Ovis aries: one gene and its partner. The protein of the gene in region 2 interacts with the protein of the main gene of each other region in a pairwise test. Links are inferred from orthologs where the notes say so. Each region holds a gene or a part of one and is shown on either strand. Other genes may lie near its edges.

Region 1 (3,517 bases), on a different chromosome or scaffold from region 2:
ACAAAACAAAATCTGACTTTTCTTTTTTTTTTTTTTTAAACCAAGTTAAGACCATGTAAAAATACTCCTCATTCCCTTTTTCTTTTAATAAAGTATAAAAAGAAGAAAGCCAGCTGACTTACCTGATCATTCTGGACTGAAATTGAGAAATTGAATATGAGCCAGAGTTTTGCATTGCAACTTGAGTGGACATGGCAAACCTCCAACCTCTGAAAATTAAGACAGTTATAAAATGAGCTATGATCAGGAACACATACATGCAAGGATGACAGGTTATGTACTTATTCACTACTATAAAGGGTAAGCAGCGTTATTTACAGTAGCCAAGATATGGAAGCAACCTGTCAATCAACAGATGAATGGATAAAGAAGATGTTGTCCATACATACAATGGAATATTGCTTAGCCACGAAAAAGAATGAAATCCTGTCATTTACAACAGTGTGGATGGACACAGAGGGTATTATGTTCAGTGAAATAAGTGAGACATAGAAAGATAAATATTCTGTTATCACTTAGATGTGGAATTTAAAAAATAAATGAATGACTAAACAAAAAAGAGACTCACAGAGTTAGAGAACTACTGGTTACCAGTGGGGAGAGGGAAGGAGGGAGGGACAAGATAGTGGAAAAGGATGAAGATATACAGACTACTATGTATAAAATAAATAGGCAACAAGGGTATATTGAATAGAACAGGGAAATACAGTCATAATTTTGCTATAACTTTAAATGGAGTATAATGTATAAAAATACCGAATCACTATGTTGTACACCTAAAACTTTATAATACTGTAAATCAGCTATTCTTTTTTTTTTTCTTTTAAAGTGAGCAACTGCCAGTGTTTAGGGTGAGCCTCGTCCCAGGATAGCACCCTACATAGGGTGTATCATACTTAAACACATTTCAGTCATTACAGAAGCCCATGACAGTACCACTTAAAAACCGGAAGGAACTACAACCCCTCAGTTCACAGCTCAATAAACTTAAAATACAGACATTCTGAAAGTACTAAATGGAGTGGGGCCTGTATTTAACAGTCTCTGAACACTATTAACCAAAAAAAGGAGTAGTGGGGGATATGTATGTGAATATTCAAGAAGAAATATAAACCAAAAGTGGCATTCCATATCTCACGAGAAACAATATGAAACCACGGACCACTAACACCACCAGAAGATAAGTCTGAAAACATACTTCAACTTTTAAGATCACACCTTCAGTAAATTATCACACAAGGAAACAACCCCCTTTAAAAAAGCAAATGAGTGTCATTTTGTGATAGAAAAGTGTGATTAAGGCAATCATGAATCATTAGGTAGCTTCTTAGCAAAGTATCAAATAATCTACTGAAAAATTTCAAAATTTGAAATCTCATTCTTTAAATTTTCACCTACTGGCTTTATGACTGCACTGATACTTTTAATTCTTGTAAAACACATAAACATTTACATTCATAATAATGAAAATTTACAGTCACAGAGAAGCTTCAATTTAACTACTTCAAATCACATACATTTTTTAAGAGTTTAAATGTATTTATTTTATTTTTTAAATTGAAGTACAGTTAATTTACAATTATAGTTTTCAAGTGCACAGCAAAGTGATTCAGTATTTACTGGGTTGGCCAAAAAGTTCATTTGGGGTTTTCCCATAATATCTTACTATATATGTGTGTGCTAAACAGTAGGCCCTTGTCTACTTGTTTTATAAATGATGGTGGTGGTTTAGGTTGAACCAGGTCTTGTTCGATTCTTGTGGTTCCATGGACTGTAGTCCACCAGCTTTCTCTGTCCATGGGATTTCCCAGGCAAGAATATTGGAAGGGGTTGCCATTTCCTTCTCTAGTGGATCTTTCCTACCAGGGATCATACCTGCATTGCAGGCAGATTCTTTACCACTGAGCCACCAGGGAAGTCCCCTATTTTACATACAGTAGTGTATATATGTTAACCCCAAACTCCTAATTTATCTCCTTCTCCTGACCTCCACTATCCCCTTTGGTAAACATTAAGTTTGTTTTCTACATCTGTGAGTTTGATATTTGTCTTTCTCTGTCTGACTTACTTCACTCAATATGATAACCTTTAGGTCCGTCCATGTTGCTGCAAAAGACAGTATTTCATTTTTTTTTATGACTGAGTAACATTCCATTATACATTCAGATCACATCTTCATCCATTCATCTGTCGATAGGCATGTGAGTTGCTTCCATGTCTTGACTATTGCAAATAGTGCTGCTATGAACACTGGGATAAATGTATCTTCAGATTAAGACTTTTCTTCAGAAATATGCCCAGGAGTGAGACTGCAGGATCATATAATAACTCTACTTTTAGTTTTTTAAGTAAATTCCATATTGTTTTTGAAACCAAATTAATTTGAAGAATGTAGAGAAATTAGAACATTTATTTGCTTCATTAGTGTGTACCTGAATAATTAGTAGGAATTACATTCTAAAAGTATTAAACTATTCTGTACTTACTAGCAAAAAATAAAATAGCGCTTAATCCACAGGTTTAACAAACAGAAAAAGCCAACATAAGTTCGGAAATAAAAAATACAACAACCTAATTTAATTTAGTTTTCTTACCGGTCAGCTATTGCTTTGGCCATAAAGTAATCTTCAGCAATATACTGAGCAAAAGCTATAAGCCCTCCTGCTTGATCTAACACATCCTTTCTCATTAAACAAGACATTCCTGTCACACATTTGAAACCAGTGACATTGGCAGAGATATAGGACCTTGGATGAGAGGTTCCAAAATACACCTGCCAAGACAAAACCGGAAACATACGTGTACAATTAGAAGTTTACGTTAGAAGTATGATGTTTATAAATTCCTTTTCCTAATGAACTTAAGAATGATAGGGTGAACAGTCTATTATTCTTACATACACTACCTGAATAAACAGTGGTACAGAATAATGTTTACATATAGCAAGCAGTCAGTAATTTCTAATTTGATTGACTACTCTTGTTATTATCACTTTTACAAAGAAGTAGTATGTACTTCGTGGAGGGAAAAGTATACTTTATTCTCAAATAAATACTGTCTTTCCTAAAACTCCAAGATTTAAAGATTTATTGAAGTAAAACAATTTGGATTTAAATAACAGAGGTGAAAATATCACTTACTGATATACGATATTCATGTTTAATGTATCCTCTTTTCATACTCTTCACATAAATATACACACATCTACACACACAGGTATATGTACATATGTGTATGTGTACATGTATGCACGTGGCTATACACACACAACACTCACAGGTACATCAACCAAAAGAACAATCCTATTTCTTAATTTCTTTTCCTGTATATTTTTGCAGTTAGCTGTTTCCTGCCCAAGTCACAAAGCTCAAATTCCCCATTTTTCAGTGTGTTTTTCATAAACAGGGTGAACACTAATAGTCTCCCATTTTACTGCCCCTTTCATAACGTGCTTTGGAGTCATCAAAAGTGCAAACTGCTAAACTAATGGGAGAATAAAATGGTCATCCAAACTTAC
Region 2 (3,986 bases):
AATGAATCACAGAATTTCTGTCCAGATGGCATGATTAGTGGTGTTTTTCAGGGGAAAAAAAAGTTTTAAAACATCAATATCTGCCTTACATTTTAGAATTCCATTTGAAAAAGAAACATAATTTGTTTACAGTGTATCACACTCAACCTCTAAGTTACTTCTTAGTTTGAGTCCCAAAGAGCATCATTCTTTTAAAAAAGCAAAATTATGAGCTTAATAGGCTTCCTCTGGATTTTGTCCCTGATTAAGTTGAGGATACACCTGCTAACTTTACTTAATTGCAATAGAACTGTTAAAATAACAGATAAGGAAGCTGGCCCAGATTTTATTTAATTTTTTTTCAAGATCTAGTAATTTATTTAGATATCATTTCTGGCATCTAGGCCTCTTATAACAGCCCATACTGAATACTGAATGCAAACTGAAAACACTAAATAATCAATAAATATATGACAAATTCCTTCAAGCAGCAATAAATAAACTTTAAATTTTCTGTATAAATTGCAAACTTATGCTTTGTCCCCCTTCCTTCATTCTTTTCCCATCCAAACTCAGCATTATGTTTAATTTTACTAATATATTTGTTGCCTAGGATAGGAAATCCCTAATATATTTAACAAACTATTTCTATAATAATAGTAATAATGTTAAATATTGCAAATGCCTACTTTGTCACAATTGTTAAAAGCATTTTATATAGATCAACTATTTTAGTGGATAGTATGTTATTGAGAGGAAGCTAAGCTTCCCCTCCTTAGTTCACCTGACCCTGATCACACCAATGAGAGGTGGGCAATGTTTATAAATGATTTATTTTGATGATGGTGGATAAAGGTTCTGTACTAGGAGCTACTCTCAACGAAGAATGCTGATGGTAAATCAACCAAAAAAGTACCTTCCTTTTTCTATTAGGTTTGCCATCTTCTTTTTCATTTAGATTAAGTTGAGATCTTAGTCGGAAATCCTCCCTTCCCCCATATAATAACTAATACTGGACAAACGGGGTTTTCTGCTTTTGAGTCTGTCTTTTTTCTTTTTTGTTTGTATATGGTCTTTTTCTTTTCCCTTCAGAATGTTTTATTCAAAACATTCCCTCAATCTCCTTTCCTCAGCTCAAATCTTTTATACTAGGGCATAATCAAGACTACCTAAAGCACTCCATGTGACCCTTAAGAGAGGCAGTGGCTTAAGAAAAGGGTTCCCCTAAATCAGCTGCCAAGAACAAGAATGCCAGTCCCGCCCCCATTCCGTTCCCCCAGGATCACCTAGCACCCGGCCTTCAAAAGCTACATCTCCAAATCTACACAACTCTCATTCCACCCGGCAAAGCTTTCTCGGAGAACTACACAACACAGCACCCTCCCCTCCCCGCTCCTTGGAAACACGGAGTTCCCTGAGTCGGCAGTCCCACCCCAAAGCTCGTTTCAGGCATCCTTTGGGCAGGATGCTTCAAGATCTCAGGTCTCCGCTGGGATCCAGTTCAGAAGGTGAAGGTGGAGGGAGGACAAACCCAGGGCAATTTCGTAACGCCCTCGCTGGTTCAGACTGCTGGCAAACTGTGCCTCCTAGCTACACCCACCGCGACTCAACAATCTCTAGCACCGCAGCCAGCGGCCGCTCTAAATTAGGGTTCCAAGTTCCAAAGCTCCCTTCGAGGTGGGAGCATTGGGGAGCTGAAAATGAAGGATTCTGGGCGGGGGACCGGCACAGCTCCCAACCTTCTGGCTTCGCAGTCCCTCCGGAATTAAACACACCTCGGCGTTTCAGTTTAGTGTGCGGTGAGCTAGAGGAGGGAAAGGGAAATGGGAGGAAGTAGGGTGTGGCGACTCTCGGAGGTTAAGGAAAGGGAGAGTTAAAGTCACATCTCTGCCCTAGATCAAGCCGGGTCTAGGGGCAGCGGGCCTGCCGGTCGCTTTGTCGTCAGCTTCCCCTGTCGCGGGAGCGAGCCCTGCAAGCAAACACGCCCCCCGACCAAATCGTCCCAACTGGCCAAGCGGGCCCTACAGCCCCCAGTCCCAAGGAAGAAACTTGTACACAGGCGCACCAGCAGCTAGGATGCTGCGGTTTGTCTCTGAGGACAACTTCGAAAGCCAGAAAAATAACCATAACGAAATAAAAGGATCAATAGTATTTTGTTTTCTTCTGAGCCTTTGGAAACTAAAATAAAATTTCTGTTCCTACCAGTCATTTAATATTTACAGGCGCCTGTGGCGAAGGGAGTGGGGGCGGGGACGGATTAAGGTTGGTCCTGAAGATAGAGAACGCAAAGTAGGTGCATAGGTGAGTTGAAGAGAAGGGGGCCGGCTAGGGGACCAGAGTCCCAGACGCCATTTGCGGGGCAGCGGCGCCGCCCGCCTTACCTGTGGATGCAGTTTCCATGGCAACGGGCGGCGGCCGGGCGGGGCCCGAGCCCAGTTCCCGCGGCGCAGCTTCGGCGACCCCGGCGCCCAGCCCGGGTCCCGGCTCCCCCGCCAGCGTCTCGGGCTTGGCTCCTTTCGGCGTCACCGCTTCGTCCTCCCCCTCCCCCCGGTCCCCGAACCACTGGGACCCGGGGCCGGCCAGCGGCAGCAGCTCGTCTCGGGGATCCGGCGGCGCGGCCATGGCTGGCAGTTCCCCGGGCGCGGCGACAGCGGCTTGGCGGGGCCGAGGTGCAGAGACTGGGTGGGCGGGCGGGCGCTCGCTGCTGCTGCCCCCGCCGGGACTCGGGGCTTGGGGAGGCTGCGGTGTGAGCGCCGCCGCCGCCGCTGCAACTCCGGCCGAGCTGCTGCCTATCGCTCTCGGCGCTTCAGCTCCTCCTTCTCCTCCCCCTCTTCCTCCCGGCCCCGCGGCGGCCTCTGCCCGCGCTCCTCCTCCTCCTCCTGGCGCCGCCGCCGCGGCCGCCTCGCTACTCCCAAGCCTGTTATTACGCAGGTGAAAAAGGCCTGCTCGGTCCGAGTCTTCCTTTGCACACGTCAGCCCCCGGCCTGCTAATGGCAGGCCTCGATTTAGGAGCTGTGCCAAATCCACTTGAATCTTCCTCTCAGGTGGGGAGGAACCAGAGGATGAGCAGGTAGAAGCAGCCCCTAGCTGAAACGTGACTGATTAGGCAAGCTGGCCACCCAACTCATAAAGTTAAACCTGGACTGGTGTCCTGGGACCCGAGTCAAAGAACGGAAACTGGAGCCATCAAGGCCACAGTTCTGAGGGTGACCAGTATCATCTGTGGATGGGGACTGGTCTTGGCGGGGAGGGGTGGAAGTGGGGGTTGACAGATGGGAGACGAGAGAATCTGCAACCCTGGGGTTAAATGTTGCATCCTTAAACTATTTCCAAAACAACCAAAAATAGTGGAGTACAGGAAAGAGCTATCAGGATAGCCTCCGAAAAAAAGCTTACCAGACTTCAGTACTACCAGCACTGAGGGCGAATAAGACAGCAATGGGCAGGATAAAAACAACTTATGTTTCCTTGCAGAAACCTTGAGCCAAAGCCATACAGATTATAAGCTGTCTGTGCAGCCTGCTTTCTTTGAGAAGTTGGACATTCCGGGAAGCTTGCTGCTTCCCTCGCCCCCATTTTCCTTTACAGCTCTCTGATAAGATGGAAGATACCTGACAGATAAACAGAAACTCAGAGAAAGGAAGTGACTTGGCTTATAATCTATTATTCCTATGTTTAGATATATCTTTTCAAACAAGACTTGTGCTTTATTGGTTCCTAAACTGTCTATGAAATGATGTGGTTGGAAAAAATAATAACACACAGGGTGGAGGACTAAGCCCATGCACTGCTCCTTCTCTAGAAAAGGTGGGGCCCGGGGCAAGCTTCCTTGAGGCTTGTGGAACTGCTAAGCCACTATAGACATGCTGAGGATTTCGTATATGTCAATTTTCATGTATTCCAAGGCCAACTTCAGCACCATGCAGATACTCCTCAAAAAGGCTGAAAGTTAAAAGCCTGAATTCTGCCCAACCCTTTGTTCTATTCAGTGACTAATTAAGAGAAAA

The links.
Region 1: the proteins of RTN1 (region 2) and UGCG interact in a two-hybrid assay, tested with the Homo sapiens proteins (2 studies listed by BioGRID and IntAct). The link is inferred for Ovis aries from reciprocal best matches to the Homo sapiens genes RTN1 and UGCG.

Annotation. Positions count from the first base shown.
Region 1 is NC_056055.1:11,620,674-11,624,190, forward strand, and holds part of UGCG (ceramide glucosyltransferase), read right to left. Parts: intron 2,774-3,517; coding exon 2,595-2,773; intron 210-2,594; coding exon 123-209; intron 1-122. UniProt on the Homo sapiens protein: Participates in the initial step of the glucosylceramide-based glycosphingolipid/GSL synthetic pathway at the cytosolic surface of the Golgi.
Region 2 is NC_056060.1:70,159,209-70,163,194, forward strand, and holds the start of RTN1 (reticulon-1), read right to left. Parts: upstream 2,804-3,986; 5' UTR 2,602-2,803; coding exon 2,361-2,601; intron 1-2,360. UniProt on the Homo sapiens protein: Inhibits amyloid precursor protein processing, probably by blocking BACE1 activity.